3 linked regions of the Saccharomyces cerevisiae S288C genome follow. Changing the gene in region 1 together with any one later gene gives a genetic interaction. Each region holds a gene or a part of one and is shown in the gene's direction. Other genes may lie near its edges.

Evidence for each region. A genetic interaction does not mean that the proteins touch.
Region 2: mutations in YTA7 (region 1) and DPB4 together harm fitness more than expected from each alone (negative genetic interaction), as found in Saccharomyces cerevisiae (2 studies listed by BioGRID).
Region 3: mutations in YTA7 (region 1) and SSN2 together harm fitness more than expected from each alone (negative genetic interaction), as found in Saccharomyces cerevisiae (3 studies listed by BioGRID).

Annotation. Positions count from the first base shown.
Region 1 is NC_001139.9:1,025,386-1,032,057, forward strand, and holds YTA7 (chromatin segregase YTA7), read left to right. Parts: upstream 1-1,984; coding exon 1,985-6,124; downstream 6,125-6,672. Other genes in the region: FOL2 (GTP cyclohydrolase I), read right to left, coding at 1-350; HUA1 (Hua1p), read right to left, coding at 672-1,268; SLH1 (RNA helicase), read left to right, coding at 6,406-6,672. UniProt on the Saccharomyces cerevisiae protein: Functions as an ATP-dependent nucleosome disassembly factor that helps evict canonical histone H3 from the 5'-end of genes upon their induction.
Region 2 is NC_001136.10:691,745-694,717, forward strand, and holds DPB4 (DNA polymerase epsilon noncatalytic subunit), read left to right. Parts: upstream 1-1,840; coding exon 1,841-2,431; downstream 2,432-2,973. Other genes in the region: TRM1 (tRNA (guanine26-N2)-dimethyltransferase), read right to left, coding at 1-1,517; serine/threonine protein kinase KIN1, read left to right, coding at 2,956-2,973. UniProt on the Saccharomyces cerevisiae protein: As accessory component of the DNA polymerase epsilon (DNA polymerase II) participates in chromosomal DNA replication.
Region 3 is NC_001136.10:1,345,134-1,351,777, reverse strand, and holds SSN2 (Ssn2p), read left to right. Parts: upstream 1-1,839; coding exon 1,840-6,102; downstream 6,103-6,644. Other genes in the region: YDR444W (putative hydrolase), read right to left, coding at 1-1,488. UniProt on the Saccharomyces cerevisiae protein: Component of the SRB8-11 complex. The SRB8-11 complex is a regulatory module of the Mediator complex which is itself involved in regulation of basal and activated RNA polymerase II-dependent transcription.

The DNA of each region.
Region 1 (6,672 bases):
TGATCTTCTTCAAAGACAGCATTCTTAATGACATCGTCCATAATGTTCGTTTGGTAACCTTTAGTGAAATAAAGCATGGCTTTAGCGTATCTTTGTGGAGTATCTAGTAGACCTTCTCTGTTGACATCTTCACCCAGTTCGGTCAAAATTGTCTTGATAGCGCCTGAAATGCGTTGAATTCGTTCCTTTTCCTCCTCTTCAGTTTCCTCTGCACGTTGTCTTGTACCCACACTTGGCCAAGAAAACCCATCTCTCTCGACAGGAGGGTTTAAAGTGTATGGAGAGGTAGGTCTAATGTTTAACGGGGTTTCATGTCTTTCTATCTCTTGCACTAATTGGATGTTATGCATTTTGGGATGATTGAAAGTATTGGTTCTAACAAAAAATGAGTCACGCACGCACAATCACGATTGAGGATGGAGTCGTATAATATTTTATGAACGGATGCTATATCGATCAGACGGTTGGCACCGTAAAAATAAATGAAAGAAGTTAAAGAAGGGCAAATCAGTCGGATTATGTGATAAGTATGTAATAGACATGTTTGAAAATTAGGAGCATTAAAATATGCTTTTCATCCTACAGTTGTTCGGTCTTTTTTCTTTTCGGTGAGCGACACAGCTTTTCTACTAAGGCCGTACCGGGTCATCCAAATCCTAAATTTTCATGCGCTAATAGCGTTGAGGCTGGGTGATAATTCTGCCTACACCATGACAAAGAGGACATATATCTTCGTCCAACAGGAATCTGGTGCGTCCGGACCCTCTGCATTCACCACATAGCACGCCACCCAGGCGAGGATCCCCTGGTTGAACGTACAAGGGCCTATTACCCTGCCATGCGTTGGTGTACACGGGCATTGTATAGTTTGTGTAATATGTCGGTGCAGAAACAACGTTATTTTGAGGTGCAAACCTCCTCCAACACGACTTGCAAGATCGTCCATTCTTCAACTTGTAACCCGTATTTCCACACTTGGAACAGTAAAACCTGGGAGGGTATGTCCAGGGCAAGCTAGGATTCTGTTGTGGCCTCGGTGGAGGCCGTGGTTGGGAACTTGTAGGCGTATAAGAGTGTGAGTGAGCATATGTTTGGGATGAGGACGTTGCTGGCATTGTCGAGGGCCTTTGGTGGGGTCTTGATTGGTGCCCTTGCGCCAAGTTAGCTGCTGGTCTTGGTGGTCGTGGCGGTTGAGATTGCAATCTCTCCTCTTCCTTGATTACGTCCTCGTAGCTCGGCAGTTCATCATCATGCGTGTCTTTAGACATAACAGTATGGTTTATACTCGTTTTATGGGTATTTTTTGGGACTGCTTAGTTCTTGACTTGAAGCCTCTTTATTCCCTTGATGGAAGTGTCACTATTAAAGATGGAGGCGGAGGCTATACCGTAGAAAATGATATGTTTGTATGTTCTGCTCTCTTCCCTCTATTAAAAGGGGGAAAGAGAAAAATAAATGGAAAAAAGCGATTAAGCCATAGGGAAAACACTCTTGTGGTGGCAAAGCATCAGATAGGCAGGCAGGAGGAAATGGCAGTGAAGTGTCAAACCAAGCATACTTTCACTGGATTGATTTGAAAGTTAATGCTGAGTTTGAGATGTTTTAAAGAGGAACTGTGGTGATCGGTTATTTCTATTCGCTTTTGTGTGCGTCTTTTCATCGTTTGCAGCTGAACTTGTTGAGGCATTAGCCGCTGAGGAATTTTTTTCTGCCTCTATAAACTTGTTTATTATCACTAAAAACGTACCGTCTGTTATTTTGTACGGCCATGTGTGCGAAAAAGGACAAAGTGGTAGCGAAAGAGCAATATTGGGACGAAAAGGAGCAGAAAAGGAACTGCGTAGGGTCTTAAATAAAGCAAAACGTCTGAAGGATCTTGCGTACTCCTTACTAACCCATTGTTGTTTTCGACAGTCATAAAAAGAAGTTACCACGGTCTATTTCTCTCTTCTCGCTATTTATTCACAATTGGTGCAGAAAGAACATGGCACGAAATTTAAGGAATAGACGCGGTAGCGACGTTGAAGATGCAAGCAACGCAAAGGTTGGGTATGAAACACAGATTAAAGACGAAAATGGCATAATCCATACAACAACTCGCTCTTTGAGAAAAATAAACTACGCAGAAATTGAGAAAGTGTTTGATTTTTTGGAAGATGACCAGGTCATGGACAAAGATGAGACGCCCGTTGATGTTACTAGTGATGAACATCATAACAACAACCAGAAAGGCGATGATGAAGACGATGATGTTGATCTTGTATCACCGCACGAAAACGCCAGAACGAACGAAGAGCTTACTAATGAAAGGAACTTGAGAAAAAGAAAAGCGCATGATCCAGAAGAAGATGACGAAAGTTTTCATGAGGAAGATGTCGACGATGATGAAGAGGAGGAAGAAGCAGACGAATTTGAAGATGAGTATTTGGATGAAGACTCGAAGGATAACAACCGTCGGCGCAGAGCGGCCGATAGGAAATTTGTAGTACCAGACCCTGATGACGATGAAGAATACGATGAGGATGACGAAGAAGGAGACAGAATAAGCCATTCGGCTTCTTCTAAACGTTTGAAAAGGGCAAATTCTCGAAGAACAAGATCGTCACGTCACCCAGAAACTCCACCACCGGTAAGAAGAGCTTTAAGAAGTAGGACAAGACATTCGCGTACTTCAAATGAAGAAAATGACGATGAGAATGATAATAGCAGGAATGAAGCGTTAACTTTAGCTGATGAAATTAGAGAGTTACAGGAAGATAGTCCTATCAGGGAAAAAAGATTTCTTCGCGAAAGAACTAAGCCGGTAAATTACAAATTACCACCACCACTAACTGCTAGCAACGCAGAAGAATTTATAGATAAGAATAACAATGCACTTTCTTTTCATAACCCATCACCTGCACGGCGTGGTCGCGGTGGTTGGAATGCTAGTCAAAATTCTGGTCCCACAAGAAGGCTTTTTCCCACTGGTGGACCTTTTGGTGGCAATGACGTAACTACAATATTTGGTAAGAATACTAATTTTTACAACCAAGTCCCATCTGCATTCAGTGATAATAACAACAATAAATTAATACTGGATTCAGACTCTTCCGATGATGAGATATTACCTCTTGGCGTGACACCGAAAACAAAGAAAGAGAACACGCAAAAAAAGAAGAAGAAAAAACCAGAAATTGCAGACCTCGATCCATTAGGCGTAGACATGAATGTAAATTTTGACGATATAGGTGGTTTAGACAACTACATTGACCAATTAAAGGAAATGGTGGCCTTACCACTATTATACCCAGAATTGTATCAAAATTTTAATATCACGCCCCCAAGGGGTGTTCTTTTCCATGGTCCTCCTGGTACGGGTAAAACACTTATGGCAAGAGCGTTAGCAGCAAGTTGTTCTTCTGATGAAAGGAAGATCACATTTTTTATGCGTAAAGGTGCAGATATTTTATCCAAGTGGGTTGGTGAAGCTGAAAGACAACTCCGTTTGTTATTCGAAGAAGCTAAAAAACATCAACCTTCCATCATTTTTTTTGATGAAATCGACGGATTAGCGCCTGTGAGAAGTTCCAAACAAGAACAGATCCATGCTAGTATTGTTTCCACATTATTAGCGCTGATGGATGGTATGGACAATAGAGGCCAAGTCATTGTCATCGGAGCCACAAATCGACCCGATGCAGTGGATCCCGCATTAAGAAGGCCGGGAAGATTTGATAGAGAATTTTATTTTCCATTACCTGATGTTAAAGCACGTTTTAAAATTTTGCAAATTCAGACCAGGAAATGGAGTTCACCGTTGTCAACCAACTTCATTGATAAATTGGCTTTTTTGACCAAAGGATATGGTGGTGCTGATCTGAGGTCCCTATGCACTGAGGCTGCACTAATAAGTATACAAAGAAGCTTTCCTCAAATTTATAGGTCAAATGATAAACTCTTGGTGGACCCTTCTAAGATTAAAGTCAAAGTTAGCGATTTCATGTTAGCTTTGAAAAAAATTGTTCCGTCATCTGCGAGATCTACTGGTAGTTCTCCTCAGCCACTACCTGAATTAATCAAACCATTACTGGCAGATCAACTTAATAATTTAAAGAACAAGCTGGATTATATGCTGAACATTAAAGACACAACTTTTCAGAGAAACACATCATTGCTACAAAATTTCATCGATTATGAAGAATACAGTGGAGAGGAAGAAGAGCATGACAAATATGGAGGAAATGAAGATACATCCAGTTTTAGATCATATGAGTTTTTCGAATCGATGGCGGAATCACAAATTTGTAAACCTCGGTTATTAATAAATGGGCCCAAGGGAAATGGTCAACAATATGTCGGAGCCGCAATTTTAAATTATTTAGAAGAATTCAACGTCCAAAACCTGGACCTTGCCTCTTTGGTTTCGGAAAGTTCTAGGACTATTGAAGCTGCTGTAGTGCAAAGTTTTATGGAAGCAAAGAAAAGACAGCCCTCAGTTGTATTTATTCCTAATTTAGACATTTGGATCAACACTATTCCAGAAAACGTTATTTTAGTCTTATCAGGTTTGTTCAGATCTTTACAAAGCAATGAAAAAATTCTTCTATTATGCTTAGCTGAAAATCTTGATATATCTGAAGTTAAAAATGGTATTTTATCTGATTTTGCTTTTGATAAAAATATCTTTCAACTGCATAAACCATCCAAAGAGAATATAACGAGGTATTTTTCTAATTTAATTGAACTACTGAAAACAAAGCCAAGTGATATTCCCATGAAAAAGAGAAGAGTCAAACCGTTACCTGAATTACAAAAAGTAACTTCAAACGCAGCTCCAACAAATTTTGATGAAAATGGTGAGCCACTGTCTGAAAAAGTGGTATTAAGAAGGAAGTTGAAATCTTTTCAACACCAAGATATGAGATTGAAAAATGTGTTAAAAATCAAACTCTCAGGCTTGATGGATCTTTTTAAAAACAGATATAAAAGGTTTAGAAAACCACCTATTGATGATGCCTTCTTGGTTCATCTTTTCGAACCAGAGACAAGCAATGATCCCAATTGGCAACCTGCATATATAAAAGATGAGAACATGATTCTGGAGGTTTCAACAGGGCGAAAGTTTTTTAACATGGATTTGGATATTGTCGAAGAGAGACTTTGGAATGGCTATTACTCAGAACCAAAACAGTTTTTAAAAGACATTGAACTGATATACAGGGATGCAAATACCATTGGGGACAGAGAACGTGTCATTAAGGCCTCTGAGATGTTTGCCAACGCGCAAATGGGTATCGAAGAAATTTCAACCCCGGATTTTATTCAAGAGTGTAAAGCTACTCGCCAAAGGGATTTGGAAAGGCAGGAACTTTTCTTAGAAGATGAAGAGAAAAGAGCTGCAATGGAATTAGAAGCCAAAGAACAGAGTCAAGAAAATATACTGCAAGAACCTGATTTAAAGGATAACAAGGCTAATGAGTTTGGTGTAGCTGCTGGTAATCAATTGCAAGCTCAGCTGCAAACAACTATCAATACAGCCTCTATCGTTAATAACAGCGAGGTCCCTCAACCAATTGATACCAACCTGTATAAAAAGGAGATTCCTGCGGCAATTCCCTCTGCAGTAGATAAAGAAAAAGCGGTCATCCCTGAGGATAGCGGTGCAAATGAAGAATACACAACGGAACTGATACAGGCCACTTGCACGTCAGAGATAACCACCGATGATGATGAAAGGGCCAGAAAAGAACCAAAAGAGAATGAAGACTCTTTGCAAACGCAGGTTACGGAAGAAAACTTCAGCAAAATAGACGCTAATACTAATAATATAAATCACGTAAAGGAAATTCAATCGGTTAACAAACCAAATTCCCTCCACGAAACGGTAGAAAAAAGGGAACGAAGTCCGATACCAAAAGAGGTTGTGGAACCGGAGCAAGGGAAGAAGAGCGACAAGGAGCTTATTTTGACGCCCGAACAAATAAAAAAAGTATCTGCATGCTTAATCGAACACTGTCAGAATTTTACGGTTTCTCAATTAGAAGATGTTCATTCGTCCGTTGCAAAAATAATATGGAAAAGTAAATCAGCATGGGATAAAACAGGAACTGTCGATGAAATAATAAAATTTTTATCTGAATAAGCAGGAGTCCATAATGTTTATATAATTCTTAAATGTAGTTAGTTCATATACATGAATGTGCACTTTTCTTGAAAAGAAATAGATTTAAAACCACACCTTGTATATATATTATGCTTTTTTCCACTACTTTATTTTAACAGTCACTGTTCTGGCATACGTTTCGGGTAATGACCGAGAATGGAATATGTATTGAACATATTGAAATTAAACATGTTCATAATATCTTCTAACACCATTGGAATTGTGAGAAGTAGATCCGTACCATCAATAGCCGGCTCAAGATGTCAACTGAATACTCTGCTGATTCATCTAAATCATTTATGATTGCAATGCAATCTATGATTGATACTTCACAAACCTTTAATCTAGATAGATCGAAAATCTCTTTACCAGATTTTGATGACGAGCTAAAAAAAGTCCAAAAGGATGAACAAAATCAAAGAACTGAACTAACTGTTCTCTCACAAGATAGAAATGATTGGGATGATATATTTGAGGAGTTTAAAGACATTTCATTTGCTCAACTGCAATCTATAATTGATTCATAC
Region 2 (2,973 bases), on another chromosome or scaffold:
GTATTTGGATTCATTTTGCTTAAGTCTTTCTTCTCATCATCACATTTCTGCATCACATACCAGATTGCATCCCATGGAGCGTTAGTCTTTAGGGACGATGGTTGGGCATGTGTCAATGAACATTCAAAGCCTAGGGAACCTAGGCCTGCGACTACTTTTTTCAAGGGAGGTACTTGTAATTTTATTACCGATGCAATATGGTTAGGACTGAAATAGAATGGCGAATCGGATAATTCATTCTTAGCTAGAGATAGCATACCTTCAATTCTTTTACGTGTTCCATATGTATCATCCTGGTCACGATGCTCTTCTTTATTAATTCTCAACACCTCCTCGATGAACTCCTTGTTGTGTAGAGGTCCTGCATACATTGGACCAGCTAAATGGTATGTCCCCTCGCAGAACTTACATTTAGTATCAACCGGAGGCCCTTGCGCAACCGAGTATTTGGTGAATGTTTTGTTGTTCCTACCTTCGCGTTGAGAAATTCTGCCCAGAGGTTGATTGTGGTAAGAGCCGCAACGGGAACAATGGTAAGTAGTCATAGTACTTGACATAACGTTTTTGACTTCAATCGGGCTTGTTTTGACTTTGACAAAAACTCTGACGTAAAAGTCAATGCTCAACGACAAAAGCGGTTCCACAGTTTTCTTGTATTTCGCGGCAGTTTGCTTTAGTAAGTTCAATACTAGTCTCAGCGCACTTTCGTGAGTTGATTCATGAGAAACCATATTTGCACCACCATATAAGGCAAAACACTTTTCTGGGTATCCGTTACCGGCCAAAACGGATAAATCAGTGCAAGTTACCAGCATTAGACCACCCTCCTCAATACTCTGAATAGCCGCATCTACAAAAGGTGTAACGGTACCGTAAGGATCCAAGTCGATGACGTGAAACTTATTATTCGTCGCTTTGTTACGGTACATTAAGACATTAGCATCATCAAGGTTTGGCTTGACAATGTTTTCGACACTATTATATTCAACGTTTCGTTTTATAGATTCGACAGCCTCTGGAAGTAAATCGTTAGCAATAACTTCCCTCACATGGGGAATTTCATGAGCATACCTAATGGCTCTTAACCCAGTGGCTGACAATGCTTCCAAAATATTTATATAAGGTTCGTTTCGATTAGAATTACCAACGGCTTCTTTTGGTGACCCGTTTCCCATTTTTTGACGCTTGGAAGAATCATCGTTAGTTTCCGCGCACCTTTTCTTCTTACTTTTTTTATTATTTCTCTTTTGGCCACATTCCTCACCATATAGGTTGTCCCACGCCTTGATGCATGTAACACTTAGATCTCTATTAAATTGTTGGATGGGATTATAGAAAACAGTTTCCTTTTTAGGGAAAAGAATTTCTGCTTTTCCTTCCTTGACTATATTGAAATCCTCAATATTGATTCTTGGTGCACCATACGCGGTAAAATTCGCTTTAATTTTGGATATAGCAGCCTTCAACATTCCGTGTAAATTTGCCCGCTTGAGGGGTATCCTGAAGAAACCTTCCATATCTACATTGTAAGAGGAAAGGTATCAACTTATGACTGCTCAGGATCTGTAACTTTGCGATGAGCATTGAATGCGATGAAAAAAAAATAATGCTTTATCCCTTTGGACGAATAAAGAAAGGCTCAAATTGGAATAACGTTAAAAACCAGATTCGATCATCAGAGCTTAAAATTGTTATTCATAGCGGCACAATAGCAGAAGCCACAGAATATTACCTAGAGGTTTTAGGTGAAAGGAAGGATTTTTTTAATTATTTAATACTTTGAAATAGAAGTCAAGCCTTTCATTGCTTATTTATATCAGACCATATATTTTTACACACGATGCCACCAAAAGGTTGGAGAAAAGACGCCCAAGGGAATTACCCCACTACTTCGTATATTAAAGAACAAGAGAACATTACGATTCAGGACCTGTTATTTCCTAAAAGCACTATTGTGAATTTGGCACGCGAAGTGCCACAGCAAAGCGGCAAAAAGCTGCTGATAAATAAAGACGCATCACTAGCGTTACAGCGTGGTGCTACAGTATTTGTTAACCACTTGCTCCTGTTTGCAAGGGAAATTGCAAAGAGTCAAGATAAAAAAAGCTGCAGTGTAGATGATGTTCTGAGTGCTTTGGACCATATAGGACACTCGGCATTGAAGGGTCCGGTTAGAGATAAACTAGATGAATACCAAGCTGCTGTTGAACAGAGGAAGAAGGAAAAACTAGATAGTGGTGAAGTAGATGCTGATGGCGATATAGATATGGGTGAAGATAAGGAGAATGTGCCCGTGGAAAAGGTTAAAGAGCATGACGAAATAGAAGAACAAGGCGATGCATTACAGGACGTAGAAGAGTCCTCCGAAAAGAAACAGAAAACGGAGAGCCAAGATGTAGAAACTAGAGTTCAAAACCTTGAGCAAACGTAACCCCGCTATGGAAACTGTCTAGTAGTGCTTGCCACCACTCCCACAGGATCGTAGTATGTAACTTGCCTTTATTACCTACATACATAATAAGCTATACTCATCGTCGTTATTTGCAAGCCGGGGAACCCAACGCGGCGCCAATGCGGAAGGAAAGAAAGGGGACAAGAAGTTGATATTGGTGGAACGTTAACAAGAAATTATGGCGTTGAGGAAGTGTATTAGCGAGATACGATATCAAGCAGGTTTAGTTAGAGCCACTTTGTGATTTGAAATTTTTTGAGATTTACTTCGTTATTATAAGGACATACGGTAACCTAGGCTAGTTAACATAATTAGTTGTCACCCTTCGCCCCCCTACCCTATCGGTCTTTCATTTTCCAACTATTGATTAGTAAAATTCAAACATCTTTGCTCCGATTAGAGCAACTGAATATACTAGGGATTTTGGGCTATTACGCATTTTTTTTTTCAACTTCTTTTAAACAGGTACAGTTTATTACGATTACTTTTTGCTCACGTAGAATATGGATGATTATCACGTA
Region 3 (6,644 bases), on another chromosome or scaffold:
CTTATATTTATTTATTTTACTTCCGTGGATAACGGCCTGAGGTAAAGTCCACTGCAACGTCGCTTTTTTGTTTGGACTTTCTGCAGGAATCTCCCCGACGTTGTTACCATTTTCGTTTGAAGGTGATGATGCTCCACTACTCTCTGGGCTATCGGAGGACACAAACTCGCTTGAAGTTGGAGAGTTCTTATTTTTTTTCCTAATTTTCTGGACTTTGTGTATGCTTCGCCAATCCAGATACAAAAGTGCAGCAGTTCGTAATGGAACAATACCATCATCCATGACATTGGCATATATCGTTCTCCTCTTAAAAGACTCAAATACTTTTTTAGCCGGCGCCTGTGGAAGAATTTCTAATATGTACTTGGAATGTTCTGGGTACACTTCATCGTCTGCATACAACCCATCTTTGGACGTTAACGGTGTATATTTTAAATTCAAGTCCCTTCCTGTCAAACCAAGCGCGCCCATATCCAGTGGAACAGACAAATAAAAGGGGAAGTCGCCAATAACACCGATGAAAGGACTAGCTAACGTAATAAAATTAACGGGTTTAACACCTTTAACTGCATCAAAAAAATCTGGTCTTTTAATACTTATGTAACGCACCGCCATGGATTGAGTTGGCCCTCCTAGGGAATGGCCAATGAATGATATCCTGTCTACTTTGTACTTTTTATTCAACTTATCAACAGTCTCAAGCACATACTTTCCAACTCTAACGCCCAAGCAATGTATACCGTGACCTGATTTCCCGACGTTGCCCATAAAACCTCGAACAATTATATTCGGATTAATAGACTCATCCATAGGAAACGTCATTTCTTCAATTTTATCTTTCATATATAGCATATCACACCCGATATTAGAAAATATACCATGTGTCATAATAACGAGATGTACAGGCTTTTCTGGAAATTTTGGTGGTAAATCCCAAAGGGTTTCAGTATCCCACATCTCTAAAGAGACACCTTCAATACTCTTAAAGAGCCCATTCGATTTCTTGACCACCTTCCTTGTAGTCCCTATCCTAAACGAAAATTCCAGCTTCGGAATTGTGGTTACCGCCAACTGCGAAATTATATCTATTGTCCATGAATAAAGAGAAGTGTCGCCAACTCTAGAATTCTCATTCAATAATATTTTTACTTTAAATCTTTCGTCCGGCTTTAGATTTTCAACAAATGGAATAATTTCCTTCCCTGGAAACTTGCGATTCTCATTATAGTTATGCGGCCTAACATCGATGTAAAAAGAATATGGCCCCGTCAAATAAAGCGGTCGCAGAAGCGCGCTTTCCTCGTTCTTGATCCTCAAGAATAGATGCGATACATCTAGCCCTTGTTCCTTAATTACATCTTTGTTCACGGAAAACTTGTAGCGATATAACTCACCTATTCTTAATCTCTTCCGCTCATCAACCAATAAGGTACCTCCGGTTTCATTTATCTCGAGCGAATTTTTCATTCGGTTGATTTTGTAAGGCATTAAGGGATCGAACCAAAATGGAGCAATTCTTTTATAATAAGAAGATGAATAACAGCCGAGTAAGTGATTCTCCTCCGCATTTCCTGCTGTTCATTGTTTTATCATACTGAATAAACAATCCTTAGAAAATAGCATCGATATATTCGCGCTTAACAAAGCGAAGAATTGAAACATTTTTTCAGGTGGAGGGACCGGGTAGTGCCGGATCAAGTAGTGTAGTATTTATTGTAGTACACTCTTACAACAACCCTTTAAGACGAATGGTGTGAAATCGGAAATTACTTTGTTGAAGTAAGGTGTAACTATATTTTAAGAACGTTTAAGCTGGATATCAAGATCTGAGGAGGTAGTATGAGTTCTGACGCTTCCACGTACAGACTTGAGGATGTTTTATCCAGCTTCTATAGAGTGGAGAAAATCAAAAAGATCAACTATCATCAGTACATTTCTAAAGCCCAAAACGATCAATGGTCTATCCAAATGGAATTCATGCTACGGAAGCAGGATCCAAAGACTCTAGTTGCGCTGCTTTCAAGGGATTTATGGTGTTTCAGTATAAATGATGATCCGGTACCGACACCTCCTGCGATAGAACATAAACCAGTGAGCCCAGATAAAATCGGAACTTTCACTGCCGATTATTCAAAGCCAAACTTACCGCCACACTATGCTCTTTTTTTAAAAGCTTTAAGAAGGAAAATTTACATTAATTTGGCATTAGGTTCACACAATAAGCTAATACAATTTGGGAATGCCTGCATATCATTAAGCGGAGTGCCAAATTATCTCGTACAGCTAGAACCACACCTTTTTGTAAACGGAGATCTCACAGTGTCGTTATGTGCCAAGAACATGGGATTAGTACCAATGAAGGAGGAAAATTTGGAAGAATCTTTCCTTTCAAAGCATGCGCTTTATTTAGCACCATCTGGAATAAGGATGCATTTGGCCCCTGCTTCCAAGCAAGGATACTTGATAACGCCACCAAAACATACAGAACTTCTCTTGACGACGTTAAGTGTATCTCATGGTATAAACTTACAAAATAAAAAAAATTTGAAATGGGTTGCTGTTGTTCCTGACTTAGGACATCTCAACGGCCACACACCTACTATAGCTTCGTATTTAACTCCCTTACTTGAAGCAAAGAAGCTAGTATGGCCGCTGCATTTAATCTTCGCCCAACCAGTAGCTGATATAGAAAATTCTACTTCCGGAGATCCATCAGAATTTCACTGTTTGCAAGATGCTCTGGATGCCATTGATGATTTCATACAATTAAAGCAAACAGCTGCCTATAGGACTCCAGGAAGTTCCGGCGTATTGAGCAGTAATATTGCTGGTACAAATCCCTTAAGCTCAGATGGAGCATATACAGAACAGTTTCAACATTATAAGAACAACTCAATTAGTTCTCAACCCGCTTCTTATCATTCTGTCCAAGAAACTAATAAGATATCTCCGAAAGATTTCTCCCCTAATTTCACAGGCATTGATAAATTAATGCTGTCGCCCAGCGATCAATTTGCTCCAGCTTTCTTAAATACCCCTAATAATAACATCAATGAGAATGAATTATTTAATGATAGGAAACAAACTACAGTATCAAATGACTTAGAGAACAGCCCACTGAAAACGGAACTGGAGGCAAATGGTAGATCACTCGAAAAGGTAAATAATTCCGTGAGCAAGACAGGAAGCGTAGACACACTTCATAATAAAGAGGGAACACTGGAACAACGAGAACAGAACGAAAATCTGCCAAGTGATAAAAGTGACTCTATGGTAGACAAGGAATTGTTTGGTGAGGATGAGGATGAGGATTTATTTGGCGATAGCAATAAATCGAATTCTACAAACGAATCGAACAAAAGTATATCGGACGAAATTACCGAGGATATGTTCGAAATGTCTGATGAAGAAGAAAATAATAACAATAAAAGCATTAATAAAAATAACAAGGAAATGCATACTGATCTTGGTAAAGATATTCCATTTTTTCCCTCATCTGAAAAACCGAATATCCGTACGATGAGCGGAACTACAAAAAGATTAAATGGAAAGAGGAAATATTTGGATATTCCGATAGATGAAATGACCTTGCCAACGAGTCCATTATATATGGACCCAGGTGCGCCACTCCCTGTGGAAACACCCCGCGATAGACGCAAAAGTGTGTTCGCTCCACTGAATTTTAACCCCATAATAGAAAACAATGTTGATAACAAATACAAATCTGGAGGGAAATTTTCCTTCAGTCCGTTGCAAAAGGAGGAAGCATTAAACTTTGATATTTCTATGGCGGATCTTTCTAGCTCTGAAGAGGAAGAGGATGAAGAAGAGAACGGTAGCAGCGATGAGGATCTAAAGTCATTGAACGTACGCGACGACATGAAACCTTCTGATAACATCAGTACTAATACTAATATTCATGAGCCTCAATACATAAATTACTCTTCGATCCCAAGTCTACAAGACTCTATTATAAAGCAAGAAAATTTCAATTCAGTAAACGATGCTAATATCACTAGCAATAAGGAAGGCTTCAACTCTATTTGGAAAATTCCTCAAAATGATATACCACAGACCGAGTCACCACTGAAGACCGTTGATTCATCTATTCAACCCATAGAATCCAATATAAAGATGACCTTGGAAGATAATAATGTTACCAGTAATCCGTCCGAATTTACGCCGAATATGGTAAATTCTGAAATTTCTAACCTACCAAAAGACAAGAGTGGTATCCCCGAATTCACACCGGCGGACCCCAATTTATCTTTTGAATCATCAAGTAGTCTACCGTTTCTATTGAGACACATGCCGCTAGCATCTATACCGGACATTTTCATCACGCCTACTCCCGTTGTTACAATTTCAGAAAAAGAACAAGACATCTTAGATTTAATTGCAGAACAAGTCGTCACTGATTATAATATCTTAGGAAACCTCGGTATTCCAAAGATCGCCTATAGGGGAGTTAAAGATTGCCAAGAAGGTTTAATAACAACCACAATGTTACAGTTATTTTCCACTTTCGATAGATTAAATGGCAATGATACGATCTCCAAATTCTATAACATGAAGCAGCCGTACGTTTTTGTAAAGAAACATCACGAACTAATCAAAGTCAAACACGACTCTCAGCCATTTATTAAGTTCCTCAATTTTCGCCCTCCAAATGGAATAAAAAACTTCAAATCCTTATTATTAAGTTCATCTTTCAAAGAAGATTGTCTGTCATTTGCGCCAACTCTATCTCAAACATATATTAATCAAGAGTTAGGGTTTTGTGAGTTGCTTAAACTAACTAATGAAGACCCGCCCGGACTGATGTACTTGAAGGCATTTGATAAAAACAAGTTACTGTTGTTAGCTGCGCAGATTGTTTCATACTGTTCTAATAATAAGAACTCCATCAAAAACGTGCCACCAATATTAATAATTTTACCCTTGGATAATGCAACTCTGACTGAATTAGTAGACAAGGCGAATATTTTTCAGGTGATCAAGAACGAAGTTTGTGCCAAGATGCCTAACATTGAACTATATTTGAAAGTTATTCCTATGGATTTCATTAGAAACGTACTGGTGACAGTGGATCAGTACGTCAACGTAGCAATTTCTATATATAACATGCTGCCGCCAAAATCTGTAAAGTTCACCCACATTGCGCATACGCTGCCGGAGAAAGTGAATTTCAGAACCATGCAGCAACAGCAAATGCAACAGCAACAGCAACAGCAACAGCAGCAGCAGAATAACAGTACAGGATCATCTTCTATAATATATTATGACTCGTACATCCACCTGGCATACTCGCGTAGTGTAGATAAAGAGTGGGTTTTTGCAGCTCTTTCAGATAGCTATGGACAAGGCAGCATGACGAAAACGTGGTACGTCGGGAATTCCAGAGGAAAATTTGACGACGCATGTAATCAAATATGGAATATCGCCCTAAATTTAGCGTCTAAAAAATTCGGAAAAATATGTCTAATTTTAACTAGATTGAATGGCATACTGCCGGATGATGAATTGATGAATTGGAGGAGACTTTCTGGTAGGAATATACATCTTGCTGTGGTGTGTGTGGATGACAACTCTAAAATCTCCTTCATAGATGAGGACAAATTGTACCCTAGTTTCAAGCCGATCTACAAAGACACTAGGTTTGGAGGACGCATGGATATGACCAGATTATACGACTATGAAATAAGGGATATAGACCAGGACATCCATGGAATAGTATTTCAGCACCCGTTCCCACTGGCACACTCACAGCATCGCTGTGCTATTAGGAGTGGTGCTTTGATCAAATTCAAAAAATGCGACGGTGATACGGTTTGGGACAAATTCGCAGTCAACCTTTTAAACTGTCCACATTCTGATAGTACACAATTGCTGGAAACCATCTTAGAAGAGTTTCGCAACCTGGCTGCTCTAAACGTGTGGTACGGTCTCTCTGATGGCGAAGATGGCCATATTCCATGGCATATCCTAGCCGTGAAAAAAATGATGAACACTCTTGTGCACACCAGAGTAAAAATTGCTAATACTTCCGCCGCTACTGTGCATACCGCTACTTCTTCATCAATTATTCTCTCGGATAAATAAACTTTTTCCGGCAACGTTTTCCTGCTCATCTGTAGCCCTATTTACCAGTTTTGGTTTTAGTATTATTCCGGGGTGTAAACCCAGAAGTCTATTTCTCCAGTCGGATTTATAAAAACAAAACCGGAAGCGGGGCGGTACGGCATTTTCACTGGTGATGCACGCCCAGCGTGTAGTCCGAGACAATTTCCACAGAACGCGAATGAGATTGCGTTTAAGGCTGTATTTTCAAGGCACACGAAGCGGCCACGTGGGTCTGCGATGGTGTGTTGATGATGTCAAGAATGGTATCATACTCCGTATAAGGTTATGTAATCGGAAGTCGCGATTCTTTTTCAATTTTTTCTTTTTATTTTTTTCCAGTTTTTTCGTCTCTGCGATGGAAAATTGTTGAAGTTCTCTTGATTAGCAAGTAGTTCTTACATCGCAGGAATCTTATGTTGCATAGCTCAATTTACAAAAATAACAAGGATAAATATATATATATACGCATATACTTTTTGGGTGTTAAAGTAAATTTTGCACCCGTTCATACCAATCGTTCA